Lytechinus pictus: one gene and its partner. The protein of the gene in region 2 binds, or shares a complex with, the protein of the main gene of each other region. Links are inferred from orthologs where the notes say so. Each region holds a gene or a part of one and is shown on either strand. Other genes may lie near its edges.

Region 1 (8,219 bases), on a different chromosome or scaffold from region 2:
AGGAGAGAAAGAGAAGATAAGGGAGGGGAAGAGGAGAAAGCAAAGGGGGAGGGGAAAGAGAAAAGTAGAGGGGAGAGGAGAGATAGACTGGAAAAGAAAGAGGAAGTGGTGGGGGGGAGATAGTGGGAAGAAGAAAAGGGGGAGAGGGGTGGAGGATGATGGGAAGAGAACAGGGGAGAGGAATAAAAGAAGAGGACTGGGGGAGGAAAAGGAGAAATGAATAGAAAAGGGAAGAGAGTAAGGAGAGGCAGCAAAAAAGGAGGAAGAGGAGAGGCATGGAAGAGAAAAGAGAGAGAAGAAAATGAGGATGAGATGATGGAGAAGAGGAAGGAGAAAGATGATGAAGAAGATTAAAAACATCAACAATCCTAAAAAAAATTGTGATTCAATATTCCTATTAGTTCTACTTACAGCCATAAGGGTTAGTGCTCTTGAATGTCACATCCAGAGGAAAGTTCCACACAAAATATTGGTTTCCATAAACATTCTTCTTGCAAACTTGTGAGATACCTTCCTCAAGACCCTAAGATAAGACAAATAGACAATTAAAATAATGATTGATTTTTCTCATGATAAAAACATTACAAAATATGTACATTCGAACAATAAAAACATAATAATTGAATCAATAATATAGTGAATAGGTATATGACTGAAATACATGTATTTTACGCATTAATTTCAATATTTTTTTTATGGCGAGGGCAATTTTAAAAGGGGTCTGATGGGAAAATTGAATAGGGCATAGATATCCAAGGGCCAGAAAATGGACATTGAGGACAATCAGTAGAATATCTGAGGTCAAAGACTTAGATGACCTTCAAGGTTATTTAAGCCCTGGATATCACAATGGTATTCACATCTGTGTATTTATTGAAAATTAAATTATCAAACATCAGTATCATGTTACAGTGTACAAAATCAATAATTTTTCAAATTAATTTTTGGGAATAAAATCATGCTGATAAAAACAGTGATTACACAATTTACAAAGGGTTATGTATTGTAATGAATTGAAAGTTAAAAACAAGAAAATAATGGGAATTATTCAAACTTTGTACTTACACTTGTAATGACCCAGTCTGGACCATACACAAAGTTGTATTTGACATAGAGATCATCAAACTCTGGAAACTAAATATGAGAATTGAATTAAAAAAAGTGAGTTTTATACATGAGACCAAACTAATATTCTTTTTCAATGCAGTTCAAGCAGCTAGCATTTTAAGATTGATTCTTTAAAATAAAGATGAGATCATATAATCAAAGATCCACTACATTTAGTAGATTTCAACATAAAAGGGAATACTGTGACTATGAACACAAAAAATATTGAGATCAACATGAGATAAGGGAAGCATTCCTTTCAACCTTCCAAGCAGCACCGTCATGAGCCAGGCAATATGGATGTCTGAATTATCTAAAAGTTAGGCTATATCGTTTGAAAACTATTCCAACAGAAATCTCTGTGATGATGTGGCCTTCCAAATCCACTCACTGCAAAGGACACTTAAATATAAACACCCCTTCCCAATATCACACAAGAATTATCAATACATGTATGGAGAGTGGGGTAATAAGGCCACCTGTTAGTTTTTAGCTCACTGCTCAAGAATGGGAGGGTCAAATGGATTACAAGTTTCATAATTGGCGATTTAGAGCCAGTAACATTTTCCTCACACATACATGTATTAATTCACTGCCAATTCCAATGCAGTTTGCGATGTTTTGGAATCGGCAGAGAATTAATACCAATTTTGTGACTGATAGAAGCATGGAAAAGAAGTGAAACTTTGTGAAAAGTAAGAATATTAGTTTCCATTGTTTTAAAAGATCGTGTTGTTGCATGAATTTTATATTTCCCCCCATAAAATCCACCTTTGTCACTCGGAGTATCAGAGTTCACCACTTTGATGTTCAGGTAGGTGTAGCGTAGTGTAGCGGTAGTGAAGTGGAGCCCAGCTAAACGAACATCACTTGAGGTATGCTGGGGCATGAAACTCTACTCTAGCTACCAACATTAACCTTCCTCAAACTAAGGCTGAATCCTTCTTCATTTCACGTTTGGTCAAGTCTCCACATTTACTTTCCTTTCTTTGTGGTTTGTCTTTGACTTTTACTTTAGTTCATGATGAAAATTGAAATTCTATTCATATCCCCTTCCCTCCTCTTCTTCTTTCTCTCTCCTCTCCATCTTCCAGTTTAACAAAGTTAAGTTTTATTTACATATGGGCCATTCCCTGCTTTTGGGAACTGGTCACCAAATCAAATTTGTACCTCCTTTCACCACGATATGTAAAGAAACTTCGCTTCGGCGATTTTGAAAAAATGGATGCGAGAGGCTTTTTTTACGGTGCAAAACTCCTCACACAACTGGTTATCTCTTTCCTCATGCGATATTTATCAGGCTCAGATTGCATGTGGGTGGACAAGTATTCAGATGACATCGATTCCGCGGAATCATAATTTTTGTAATTATATCCATCTACCCCGCATTTCCGTGCTCTTCAAGACCACTCTGCCACTTTCACAATGTTGACATAAAAAATGATTACAAAATCGATTCACTAAATAAATCACAAACAAGATATATATGGGGATGAATCACTTTAATACACTCTATCCATTTTCACATCACGAGTAGATAAAGACAGTTTACTAGTGAAATTTATGTCATCAGAATCATCACTGACGAAATAAATCTCATTGGCAATCTCTCTTTATATCTACTCTTCAAAATAGGAACCCCTTAAGAAAATTCTACTGAATTATACATGCTGGTTCCCATTTTCACGAGTAGATAAAGACAGATTAGTGAGATATATTTTGACAGAATCACCACTAACGAAATAAATCTCATTGGCAATCTATATCTACTCTTCAAAATGGGAACCAGCTATGGAAAATTCTCCTGGATTGTGCTGGTTCCCATTTTCACGAGTAGATAAAGACAGTTTACTAGAGAAAATCATCTCGTCAGAATCATCACTGACGAAATAAATCTCATTAATAATCTGTCTTTATCTACTCGCTGAAATGGGAACCAGCGTGTACAATTCTATGGACAATTTTCCACGCTGGTTCCCATTATAGCGAGTAGAGAAAAGACAGCGACAAAATAAATCAAGCTCTTTGAAGGATTAGAATTTTTAGAATCAGTGCGCCAGCAGCGGTGAAGCAGTGTGCATGTGCAAGCTCGAAAAGGTCATGACATGTCTTGTCATGAAAAAGTGTCTGGTGGAAATTAGGAACTGCTTCCCAATTTCACGATAATGCCTACATGTGTATCATATAATAATGTGCACATGTTAATTCATAGCCAGTTAGTATCTCCATTACTCCAAGACAACGCAAAACATCAAGTCAATCTTTAGCGACTACCCTTAAATACACATTCAAACAAGACTACAAGAATCAGAATGAATCTAAGTATCAAATCGGTTTGTCCACCAAGGCACCATTCTCTCTAAATGAGTTTATTTGATTCATATCATGACTACAGTTTTCAGAGCATAATACTCACATCTCCTCCTTCAATCTGACCGCTCATCATGAGCAAAAATACTGTTGGAGTAGAAGCCATCTCATCATCTTTTTCGCTCAGCTAGCTCAGTTTCAGACTCACTCTTTCTTATCTTCCTTCACAACTATTCAGATTGTAGCACGATTTGGTGTTACAAACTAAGGTGATTAGAGGTATCTTCTACGTATCATTAGCTTGTGAGAAAGTATACCAATCTTGTTAATGTTATTGATACCGCGACGTGATTAGCAGCTGGATCATTCCGGCGCACAGCATCAGTGGCTTACGGGGGACCGCGGGCCGCGCCGGGTGGGCCGGGCCGGGGGAGCGAGCTAGCTAGCGTTGAGCTGCGCTGGTACTGTGCTTCCCGGTCGCGTCGTCGGAGTTCGGAGTAAATTTAGGTTTCCAAGCGAAGAGCTGTTACAAGATGCGCATTTCACCTGTTCTTCTATTCATTATGTGGTTTGGGTCATGGAGGACTTGTGCAGGAAAGTTGGTATGAATAATCTGTTCTAAACTTAATCATATTGTCTGCGTGTTTTCGACTTTTCGTAAATTTCTATGAACGACAACGTATTAACTTGTTACTTAGTCAAGTAGTAGTAATGGCCATGGGGTGTTGCAAGAAACTTGCGATCAATTGCAAGTCAATCCTAATCACATGTCTTGCAGTTAATTGCAAATTAGTGATTGATTGCTAATTTGTTCCTTGAAACAAGAAGTTTAATCTGATTTGCTATAGTATACTATAGCTAACGTTGATGTATCAGTTGTAAAACTGCAACAGAATATTTGCGATTGATTGCAAATATTTTCTTGCAACACCCCCTTAAGAAAAAGTAGATTTCACAATTTTGACGATTCTGAAATCTGCTGTAACTTAGTAAGGGTTAGGCCCTACTAAAAATACTATTGGCCAGCAAAGAAGAAGAAAAATGTACTTTAAACAAATAAGAAATATTAAATATGATCATATGATTTTTACTCTATTATTGTCATCTAGATACTTGCTGATGTGACAAGCAACAAGCTTACGAGGCAACACGATGGCAGCCTTGGTTTATGGTCTTTTCATGGGTAATTTCTTCTTTTAATTAGTTTTAAGATTTAGGTCACAATATACCTGACTTACAGGGGGAAAAATACACAAGGAAGGGGGCGATTTCACCCCAAAATACTCAAAAGAGCCCTGAAAAATTAGCTCCTGAAAAAAAAAAAATAATAATAATTTGTTGCCTGCTGATTTATTATATGGTGGAAGGGAGTAAGTGGCTCGGAAAACAATTTGGGAATGGATACAAAATGAAGATATGCATTTTTCAAAAGAAAGTGTTCTGTTATTTTTGTCACTAATTGAAGTCTTTTGCTTTTTTATATATTTTTTTAAATGTTTTTTCTTTTGTAATTTCTGTTGTAGGATCGAAATTGCCCTTCATTGAATGAAGCTATTTCTTTTTCTGATTACTGTCCTTGTCTATTGAATATGATCATATCCTGTATGCTCATGCCCTGCATTTATTTGCAAATATAATTTTATATTTTAATATGTCAAACTGGAATCAAGTATTTTAATTGCACCAGTTTACTTTAGAGTGAAATTTTCAGTCTAAAGTTGTTTCACTGTACTACTATGCCTTGCTTCATTGCACCTCCTTGCATTAGGAAGACAGAGTAAAAAGTTCACAAATTGTTTGATAACCTCACTCTCAACTAACAGATCTAGCTGTCTACATTGAATGTTAGTATTATGCAGTGTTCATACTCTTGACCAGGGCCCAATTTCATAAGACTTGTTACAAAAACGAATTTGCAATTTACAGTTTAAAGCAACTGAAATCATTCAATTTGATGACTGATACATGTAGTCAACTTGTAATAGAAATTGTGCCATTGTTATTATAACAACTCTTTATGAAACAAGACATATTATCCTTAATAGTAATACTACTCTTTTTTTCATCTTGTATTTAATACAGAGTTGCAAAGAAAAGTCATGCTAGCAAGACACATTTCATCTACAATGCTGACCTTTTGACCTCTGATGGCTCGCATCATATAGACATAGCATCTTCGGTATATCCGAGCTTGGGTCTTACTTCTGATCATGATCCTATTTACCAGGTGAGCTCATCAAGGGAGCATTTCATGGAACAAGTAGTCAGTGATTATCTCTGGCTATTTGTTATAAGTTACTGAAATCCTTGCATTTGATTGGCTCAGAGCTAATTTGTTAGTAAAAAAGTTTTTCATGAAACTGCCCTAATAAAATAAATCATAAATCAAGTATTTCTTCTTTTATTTCTTGAATGTTATTAGGAACTTATACTAGTTGATAACAGTAATATACATTTGTGTGATTCATTGTTTATGAAAATATCATGTATTTATGGTTATGGCTCCTGTCATTTTGTAATTTAGTTTAAAAATGAAAGGGTTATTAGCTTTATTGAAAAGTTGCTGTTATTATCACCCTTTTCCCCACTAGCATACCTACTGAAGGGGGGGGGAGGGGGGGGGGGGTAGAGACTGCCCTCGCTTACCAAAATAGTGTAAATAATCCCCTCTCGCAATCCAAATGAGAAAAAAAAAAGAGACAAAGTTGGGGGGGGGGTTGTCTTTTGCACCTGGGGAGCGTTTCATCAATATTTTCATCCGACAAGTTGTCAGATCTGACATCTTTCCATGATTTTGATTGGCAGAGAGGCACTGTTCCTATGGTAACTGTCGGATAAAATGGGACTTGTCGGATAAAACGTCCGACAAGTCCTTTCATGAAACGCCCCCCATGCAGGTCTTCCCTGATGCATTTTTTCAGGTATACAACAGTGTATGTCCTACTGCTATGTGAAGTTTCATTTTGATGACCCTACCTTATCCCTCCCCGGCCCCTATTAATCACCTATTGAATACCATACATAAAGTAACAAGAGTTGTAATTTAATCCAATTTCCAGGAATATCTCATTCTCCAAGCCAAGGTTGTGGGCATGGATGGTTTCATGATTGAGTGGGTAAGTTCATGAAAAAGAGCTCTGTTGATGTGTTAAATTGGCACAGAGAGCTGAACATACTATCTGAATAAATAAACTAAAATTAGCCAAGAAAACTAATATTTTTGTTCATCAAAATGGCAAAAGGCAAAAGGGCATTTATTTTAACCTGAAGCCTTCAAATATTTGGAAGATCATGAAGGCCGTTTCTGAGGGTATCAGAAGCCATGACCTTGGATTAATTTAAGCCCCTTCGTTGATTATGTGGTATTGACGTTTTTGTTTCCATTATTATTCGTAACAGATAATTCAGATACAGTGTAAAAGAATTGCTGTAGAGGTTTCACAATAAGCCATTTTGTAATTAGATATCTTATTTTGGAATGGATGGTGGGGGGGGGGGTACTTCATGCATTTTGGTAGAGGAAAATATTATGTTTTTAGGTATATTTTTCTTCTATTTTTTTGAAGGGATACCAGAATCATTCAAGTGATGAAGCTCTGAAGAGTTATCTCACCCTAACCCAGAACAACGCTCCTTTTCAGCTTGCTGTAAATTGGTAGGTGTATATTTTTAATGATAAAGCCTCTTTCAAGCATAAAAATCTGAACATTCTTGATTTGTACTTTCAGTTGAATCTCTTGAATCTCAGATGAAATGAAAGATAACAGATTTTTTCTTTCTGCGTCCTTTTTGGGGAGAAATATACTGAGCACTTTGCAGGTGCGAAATAGAATTTAAAAAAAAACCATAATCCTTATTGTAGCTCTTTCAAACAATAGTAAGACATATGATAGTATTACAGAAAGAGTGATATTTGCTTAATCTGATTTAATTCTCTATTTGTCACATTGATGGGCCTTTTATAATCAGTCTTTAGTATTGCCTCTAAAGATATTGTTGAGAATTGAAAATACGTCATTAACAAGATTTTTGAAAAATAAATTGTTGAGATTAGAAACTTAAAAGGGTATTGGTGTTTGTTATTAAAAGCCTTAACCTGTCAATTATGTCAATTCATCAGCTCAATTCATGATTTATGAAGAAAAAAAATTGGGACAATGATTTCCCTTTCAAAAAATTGGCCTTTTCCTTTCCTTGGAACCTATACCGTAATTCCATTTTAAACTTAACATAAAATGGAACTGCTGTATTGTCAGAGAAAATGTACACAGCAAAAACCTGAATTCCATTTTGTGAAGGTAAATTCAATGAATTTTTCTGGGGTTTTTTTTGTATTTTTTTCAACGAGACAAATATATTGTATTTGAGCATTTAAAGGTACCATACCTGACTAGCTTTCATTCTATTTTCTGGTTCCTATTATCCTGTAAACTATTCTATTTCATTATGTCTTGTAGTGAAAATTGAATTGCACATGTTTTTAATATCAAACCAAGTTTATATCATTGGAAGAAATAATTTATACATTTGATATTTCATATTTAAAATACAAAAGAAACATAGAGTGTGGACATTCATTCATTCATTTATTTATTCATTTTTCCAACAAAATTTATAATGCAATAATTACAATAAATAAAACATAACAGCAGAAAATATAAATGACATAAATATTCAAATAAACCGAATATAAAGAATATACACCTGGTACAGAAGATAATATTTCCAATTTGATAATAACAATATGCAAGATATGTTGGAAAAATGGTTTATCATGTGCATACCACCTTTAATGTATAACT
Region 2 (8,200 bases):
AGCTGTTTATCCATCCATATTGTCATCTAATTTGCATAAATTATGTATAGATTATGCATGAATTATCATATATTATTCAAATTCGAACATAAAATGGTTCATTTTCCCAGTTTATACCTGATTCCCAATTAAAATTGTGGCACAACTAAAATTAACGTTCATTATGACATGAAGAGAAAAGCAAATACAGATAGAACAGTTTGTTGGGTAGAACTATACAACTTTTCATATTATGCTAATTACAATTAGTATAATTATAAAGTTCAAGTTGTATCAACTAAATTTATTCTCCTAGCATATTCATGGGGATTATAACTTACAAACGTTGGGCCCACATTAAAAGAAAATTTTAGAGTTTCCTAAACGCTGCGATGCCACAGTTAGCAAAACAACTTTTATATTTACGAAACCTCTTCTGCTCTTGGAAATATTAGAGAAAGACAGAAAAGGGCATTAATGTAGTTTTAATATTGATATATTTTTTGTTCTGGTTTCTGTGAATGCTTATTTTTTTAAGCCATGTTTTAGTCAAACGCGTTACTTACAAACGATGTAAGTTAAGGAACCTGCACTGCAAACATTCTTGTTTATGCTTAGTTCCTACTTTGTACTATTATTATTATTATTATTAATGTAACATTATATTCTGTCAATTTATTTCTTGTTATGCATGGAGAAAATAAAACATTGCTATGCATGTTACATGCAATGACGTTATGGGAATCAAAGCCTAACCCTATTTGGAGCCGCTAGAAGGTACTCCCCACCCCTTTTTCAATATCAGAGTGATATAATTTTTATTTGAAATTATCATTATCATTTCCACTGATCTTTTGAAAAAAAAAGACAGAAGATACATTGTTCTAAAGATTGCATTAAAAGACGTCCTTGTACATTGAAGCCTATATACCCTATACTATTTTACAGAGCTTGTCAAAGTAGCCCCATCACTTTCCTTTGACTCTATTAGTCTGTTTAAAATGTCCTTTTAATAACGCCCCTTTCTGTAAAAGGGGCGCTTTAGCGGAATATTAAATCAGCTTCTATTTTCATTAATTTCCTAAGATAAAGGACGCATAAAGATTAAATGAAGAGAAATCCTAAAAATTAAAGTCTATCCCCATCGAAACCTATAAAAAGTATGAACATGTTTTTTGGGAAAGGGTGACTATGCGTGCTGCAGCGTTTTGAAGATTTTGGAGTTTGGACAACTGGGTGTTGGGTAAATTCAAATTGTAAAGCAAGGCATTCTCGAAATCAAGTCGTGAAGACATCAGTGCATGAACTAATTTTTTATTGATCGCACTTAATAAAGAGCTGAGATTTTTCATTATTATTACTTTGAGTGTCATGAAAAGAGGATTTTAAGTAGTTTGTTGTATAATCAATATTGAGACATACATAACTCGCCAATCAAAATGCGAGCGTGCAGTGCTAGCTGATACGTTTTGACAATCAGACCTGAAAAGGGTATTTTTAAAACTTTATGGAATACACGAAAATCATAGGTACCTGATAAATCAAAATTTGCGCGCGCGCAGCGCGAGCAGAAATGTTAATATTCAGATAAAAAACCTGACATTTTTACAGAGCACTTTTTAAACATCAATATTCACACAAAATAATGAAAGTTCGATTTCCGAGGTAGAATATGTTTTGTAAATTGACTTCCAAACTTGATATTCAAACTCCATATTGAACAAAATATGAAAATCACCTAACAGGCAATGCGAAGCGCGAGCGAAAATTTTATATAGCTATAGTGACATGAAAGAGATCTTTTTATTTTCCAAGTCTTCCCCTCATCTTATTTTATTCCCTCGTCTTCCTCCTCTTCTTTTTTCTTATCTCTTTCCCCCCTTTTTTTTTCTTTCCCTTTTCCCCTTTTTTTACTCCGCCAATAGGGGGGGGGGGGGCCGGGCCCCTCGGCCCCCTGGATCCGCCTATGAGAATGATCAAAGTACCACAAAGTCCTGCAAGTTCTGCCACTCCGTTTTTGTTATACATTTTGTTGGAGGATGCCCAGCATTTAGCCAGCGGCGTAACAGGGGTTGGTGGCCAGGGGGGGGGGGGGGGGGGGGGGGGGCAAGAGCCAAAAATTTCCCGGTCATATCATGGTATGAACAGGCGGAATGGTGTAATAAGGCGGCGATTTTGAGAGGGCCAGATATTGCGTATCGGACAGAATTTATCTTTTAAAAAAAGTTGCGAGCGAGCAAAATTTGACATTTTTAATGCAAAATTTTTTTAATGCAAAAGATTTTGACATAAAATCTTCCATTCATTTGTTTTTGTGGTCTGTACGCCACTGTGAACAGGATTATTTGCAGCAGTAGCGAACGTGATAAAGTAAAAAAACGATGCATGGGCGCAGTATATGGCGCATGTGCTAAAAAGCTGCTTAATATAAGCCCCGAGCGAGCGAAGCGATAATCTAACTTGGAGATATTTTTTGACATTATATTCAGTAAATAAAATCATATCCTACAAGTTCAAGTTCAAGTTTAAGTTTATTCAAACCAATCAAAACAAGAGACATATTACACAGTTTAACAAAAATTAGAATATATGATAGGTTTGGGACCCCAAAGAAGCAGAGCTTGTGAGAGGGGCCCCTTGTAAAGTACATTACAACAGTAATGAGATGAAAAAAATATTTACAATGATAATGTAGAGTAAATAAGAAAAATACATACAAAACACACACACACACATGGTTTATCAAGAATCAATTTAAGATATTTTGTAATCTTTCAAATAAATATTTTCGACATGAATTTTCAAATATGGGCAGTGTTGGACTGGATCGAAAGTTTTGTGGTAACTTATTCCATTCTTTTGTACAAACTATCACAAAAGAATTCAAAGCAGTATTTGTTCTTGTAAGTGGTTGGTGGATAAGATTTTTCTGCCGTGTATTGTACAAATGTACATTTGAATTAACAACAAATGCATTTTTAAAAAATGAACAGCTTTGAGAGGATAGTGATTTGTACATAAATATCAAACAATTGAAGGAGACAAAATCACCAGGAGGCAAAATCTTCAATTGCAGAAATAGAGGAATACTTGGACATCTGTAATTCGAATATGTTATGAGCCTCATAACTTTCTTCTGAAGAACTAGCAGTTTGTTTAAATGGTTCCTATATGTCATACACTTTTCCTTTTCTCTTTTGCTTTTCTATCCTCCTTTTTTTTTTCTTGGTTGTAGAAGTTTTGGGGACCATGGCCCAATTAACCCTTCCATATTCATATACGGCAGTGCTATGCGGTTGGGGTCCAGGGCAGAGCCCCCGGAACTTCTTGATATCACAGCCATTTAAACTTCGCAGATTGCCGCTATTTTAGATCAAATCGCGGGTATATACAGAATATAGCTTTTACACAACACATTTATTCAACCCAGTTGAACCAAATATTTTGAGGGGGCAAAACATAGCAATGTGGGGAAATTGGTAAAAAGTCGCCAGCTAGCAAAGCGAGCTGGAAAAAAAATGCCCAATGAAATTAAATTCTGTGATAGATTTTCCATTATATTCAGCAAATAACAACTTTCATTGTTTCCATTCATTTCATTATAGTTGTCTCCTATAATTTCTTTTATTTCCTTTTGGGTGTGGAACCAAGACACCCCCCCGCGCCTGTACGCCAGTGATTGAAGCTTAGTAAAGTATAATGTATGAAGGGTCCCTACAGGGCCGGGGGGGGGGGGGCGTTATAGAGCCATTTGAAAGTTACAGATGAAGAACCCCTACTGCGTGGGGTCTCCGGGGGCAATTAAAGCCCCCGGTAGCTTATTTGCAAAAAAATAAGCAAGATAGCACAATTTTGTATGCAATTCACTCTTTCTTCCCGCTCTTTACTTTCAATCCTCGGCAGCCAGGTCGTGTTATTAATATTTTTCTTGTCCGGCCCTTTTCTTTGTTTTCCAATTTAGCTTTTGACTTATTCCATTCTACCTTCACTTCCCGCTATTGTTTGCCATTTTGTCATCTTTTAATTTATTTCCCATCATGCTATTGCATTACTTTTATATGCCTATTTCAGGGATGTTCTTCTTTCGTTCCTTTCCCGCTTTCCTAATTCCTTTTCCATTAAAAAAAAAATCGCTTCGTTTTCTTTTCACTTTTCCATTTCCCTTTCCTTTTCCTCCTTCCCCTTTCCCTTTGTTTCTCCCTCCCTCTTCCTTTTCCCCGTTTTTTTATTTTCCGGGTGAAATCTGCCAGGAGGGGGGGGGGGGCAGCTTGCCCCCCTGCCCCCCGCCTGTTACGCCACTGCATTTAGCACAGACAGGAAAACACTTCTAAACTTAAAAGAAGACAAGGAACTGCAATATTTTTCTGAGCATTTAATGATCAAGAACCTCAACAATTTACCATTTCCGTCCTGTTTCTACCTGACGTCGAATTAACAGATTCCTCCAAAAACGACCTAAACCGACTTGTTTTAAATTCTTTCATAAGATTCACCTCTCTCACGTCAAAATATGAAATATGAAATGCTAATGATGCAGTATTAAACTGCGGATCTCCGATACAGCGGAGGAAGGATACAGAAGAAGAAGAGGATACCTGCCGATATATATATCCGAACAGCGGATCGGAGGAACTGAACGAGAGCTAGAGCTAGAGGGGGAGATGAGAGAGAAGTGCGGCGCAACGGAGGAATTTCGAGAATCAACAGAGATTCAGATCGTGGTTGAATCAAGATCGAAGGCGATGGTATGTCATTATTTACGAATCAGTAGATGGCTAGTTTTTGAGTAGGAGATTAAGTTCTGCTAAAAAATCGAAATCATCCACAAAACCATGGCATGAGTTTACATTTTACGCTAAAAAACTTGAACGTTAAGGTTAGACTTGGCGCCGGCGATCGCGACGACGTAAACAAATTTCCTACGTTGTCCCACCTATATATTTCTGTGATGTGATGGTGAAGCTAGCCAGGAGGCTCCAACTTCCCACCCACGGCTACATCTCAGCCGGCAGCCGCCGACTACAGAATAATTGAAGGCATGGCGCATTCAACAAATAACGTTAATTTACGAAAAATTAATACGAGGACTTACAGAACACTCACACAACATGCGAGGTTAGTAATACTAACCTCGACCTCGCACAACGCATGTCATTTCATATTATCATAGGCCTAGGCCTAATGAATTTTGACGTTTTCATTCATCACACGAATGTGAGAATATGAAACATGCCTAAATCTTCAATATACTAAATTTAGTCATCTTAATCTTATAATGTAATCTAATTTGGCTTAACTGCAGAATACCCCGACACTGCTCACTACCCAATCGTTGGTCAGCCAACACAACGATGTCAAGACCTATAGCTATATACTAATTCAATGGTATATAGCCTAGATATACCCATACTATTATATACGTACATGCATTACTGGTACTACTACTACTACTATACTACGTACGTACGTACGTATGACGGTACGTACGAGCAATGCATCCAGGCCATACGTAATGACCTTTGCCCTTTGACTACTACTAGAGCTATAATTAAACATCGTTGGGTGCGCTGCTAGCCAACGACCCACGTTGTGACGGTACGGACGGTGCAATATAATATTCAAAACATCGTTGGCTAACCAACGACCCACGATGTGAAGGTGCAATAGTACAAGATTAATACACTCTTTTAAATTACCTACTACTACTAGCTATTGCTATACATCGTTGGGTGCGCCGCTAGCCAACGACCAACGATGTGACCGTGCAATGCAACATTCAAAACATCGTTGGCAAGCGTTTCAAGGTATGGTTTCACAAAACAGTTTAATATATGCATATCCTGGTTAGTGAGGTGATCGATGTCATTCACTCTCTATTTCTTTTGTATTTTTTATACATGAAATATTTTCATTTTTTCTTCATTAAAATATGAAATAAAGTTTTAATTCCCATTGAAGGAATTCAATGGGAATTGAATTCAATGGGAATTGAATTCAATTAGGGTTAGGGTTAGGGTTAGGGTTAGGGTTTAGGGTTAGGGTTAGGGTTAGGGTTAGGGTTAGGGTTAGGGTTAGGGTTAGGGTTAGGGTTAGGGTTAGGGTTTAGGGTTAGGGTTAGGGTTTAGGGTTAGGGTTAGGGTTAGGGTTAGGGTTTAGGGTTAGGGTTAGGGTTAGGGTTAGGGTTAGGGTTAGGGTTAGGGTTAGGGTTATATTCACATCGTTGGCATCGCCGGCAATGTTGGCCTCTACAACAGGCATATTCACATCGTTGGCATCGCCGGCAATGTTGGCCTATGTAAGATACATTCACATCGTTGGCACTGTTGGCATCTACTACAGGCACCAACACATCGTTGGCATCGCGGGCGCTGTTGGTATATACATACTAAACATACATTCACATCGTTGGCATCGCCGGCAAAGTTGGCCTATACTTACTAAAGATACATTCACATCGTTGGCATCGCCGGCAATGTTGGCCTCTACTACAGGCATATTCACATCGTTGGCATCGCCGGCAATGTTGGCCTATGTAAGATACATTCACATCGTTGGCACTGTTGGCATCTACTACAGGCACCAACACATCGTTGGCATCGCGGGCGCTGTTGGTATATACATACTAAACATACGTTCACATCGTTGGCATCGCCGGCAAAGTTGGCCTATACTTACTAAAGATACATTCACATCGTTGGCATCGATGGCAAGGTTGGCCTGTACTACAGACACCAACACATCGTTGGCATCCTGGCCGGCGCTGTTGGCCTATACGTACTAAAGATACATTTACATTGTTGGCATCGTTGGCACTGTTGGCATCTACTACAGGCACCAACACATCGTTGGCATCGCGGGCGCTGTTGGCCTATACATACAAAAGATACATTCACATCGTTGGCATCGCGGGCAAGGTTGGCCTATACTACAGACACCAACACATCGTTGGCATCCTGGCCGGCGCTGTTGGCCTATACGTACTAAAGATACATTTACATTGTTGGCATCGTTGGCACTGTTGGCATCTACTACAGGCACCAACACATCGTTGGCATCGCGGGCGCTGTTGGCCTATACCTACTAAGGATACATTCACATCGTTGGCATCGAGGGCAATGTTAGCCTGTACTCTACAGTACAGACACCAACACATCGTTGGCATCGCGGGCAATGTTGGTCTACATAGGAAACTACAGATATGATCGCATCGTTGGCATCGCGGGCACTGTTGGCATGTACTACAGACACCAACACATCGTTGCCATGGCGGGCAATGTTGGTTTACATAGGCAACTACAGATATGATCGCATCGTTGGCATCGAGGGCAATGTTGGCCTGTACTACAGACACCAACACATCGTTGGCATCGCGGGCAATGTTGGTCTACACATACTACGGAAATATACACATCGTTGGCATCGCGGACACTGTTGGTCTACATACTACAGAACACAGATATAGATCGTTGGCATCGAGGGCAGTGTTGGCCTGTACCGACTACAGACACCAACACACCGCTACCATTGCGGACTGTGTTGGCCTACACGTACTACGAAAATATACACATCGTTGGCATCGCGGGCAATGTCGGCCTACATATTACAGATGCACACAGATATATATACACATCGTTGGCATCGCGGACTGTGTTGGCCTACACGTACTACGAAAATATACACATCGTTGGCATCGCGGACACTGTTGGTCTACATACTAATCGCGCGCGCTCGCATCGTTAGCGTTACAGTGCAGTCTGAACACTTAGAATCTATTAAAAAAATACTTGTAAGTTGTAAATCATTCAATTATTTATTATAGCTGATTTTCTGATTTGATAGCTTAAGTACATCGTTGTGCGTTGGCTCTCCAACGATAAGGTAACGCAGTGTCCGGGTATTCTGCAGTTGTTCCTCTAATTTAAAAAATCAGCACGAACGTATCTATAAAAATGGATTTTAAACGCTTACCTCCAAATCTCAGCCAGTTATACTCCGTCCGATCCTTAATACTGCGGTGGAAATTACGCAAACAACAATCAAAATGCGAATTTTTCCTATCGAACAGTCTAGATTCAAGTCGCCGGTGCATGATAGGAAATCGTACCAAAAAAATCAACAGGTTGCATGTCACGTATAATCGCTACATGCATCATAAAATAACGGTGAACAGCGAAAAAAATGCGGAGCGCCTAGAACGCAACCAGCAGTACAGCTGATCTGA

The links. Proteins that work in one complex are often made in the same cells at the same time.
Region 1: coiled-coil and C2 domain-containing protein 2A-like (region 2) and B9 domain-containing protein 1-like share a complex: the UniProt entries of both Homo sapiens proteins name them as parts of the tectonic-like complex. The link is inferred for Lytechinus pictus from reciprocal best matches to the Homo sapiens genes CC2D2A and B9D1.

Annotation. Positions count from the first base shown.
Region 1 is NC_087254.1:10,976,181-10,984,399, forward strand, and holds the start of B9 domain-containing protein 1-like, read right to left. Parts: upstream 3,811-8,219; 5' UTR 3,584-3,810; coding exon 3,524-3,583; intron 1,135-3,523; coding exon 1,066-1,134; intron 524-1,065; coding exon 412-523; intron 1-411. Other genes in the region: uncharacterized protein LOC129269100, read left to right, coding at 3,951-4,019, 4,527-4,600, 5,500-5,644, 6,477-6,533, 6,984-7,072. UniProt on the Homo sapiens protein: Component of the tectonic-like complex, a complex localized at the transition zone of primary cilia and acting as a barrier that prevents diffusion of transmembrane proteins between the cilia and plasma membranes.
Region 2 is NC_087261.1:31,142,699-31,150,898, forward strand, and holds the start of coiled-coil and C2 domain-containing protein 2A-like, read left to right. Parts: upstream 1-4,302; 5' UTR 4,303-4,724; intron 4,725-8,200. UniProt on the Homo sapiens protein: Component of the tectonic-like complex, a complex localized at the transition zone of primary cilia and acting as a barrier that prevents diffusion of transmembrane proteins between the cilia and plasma membranes.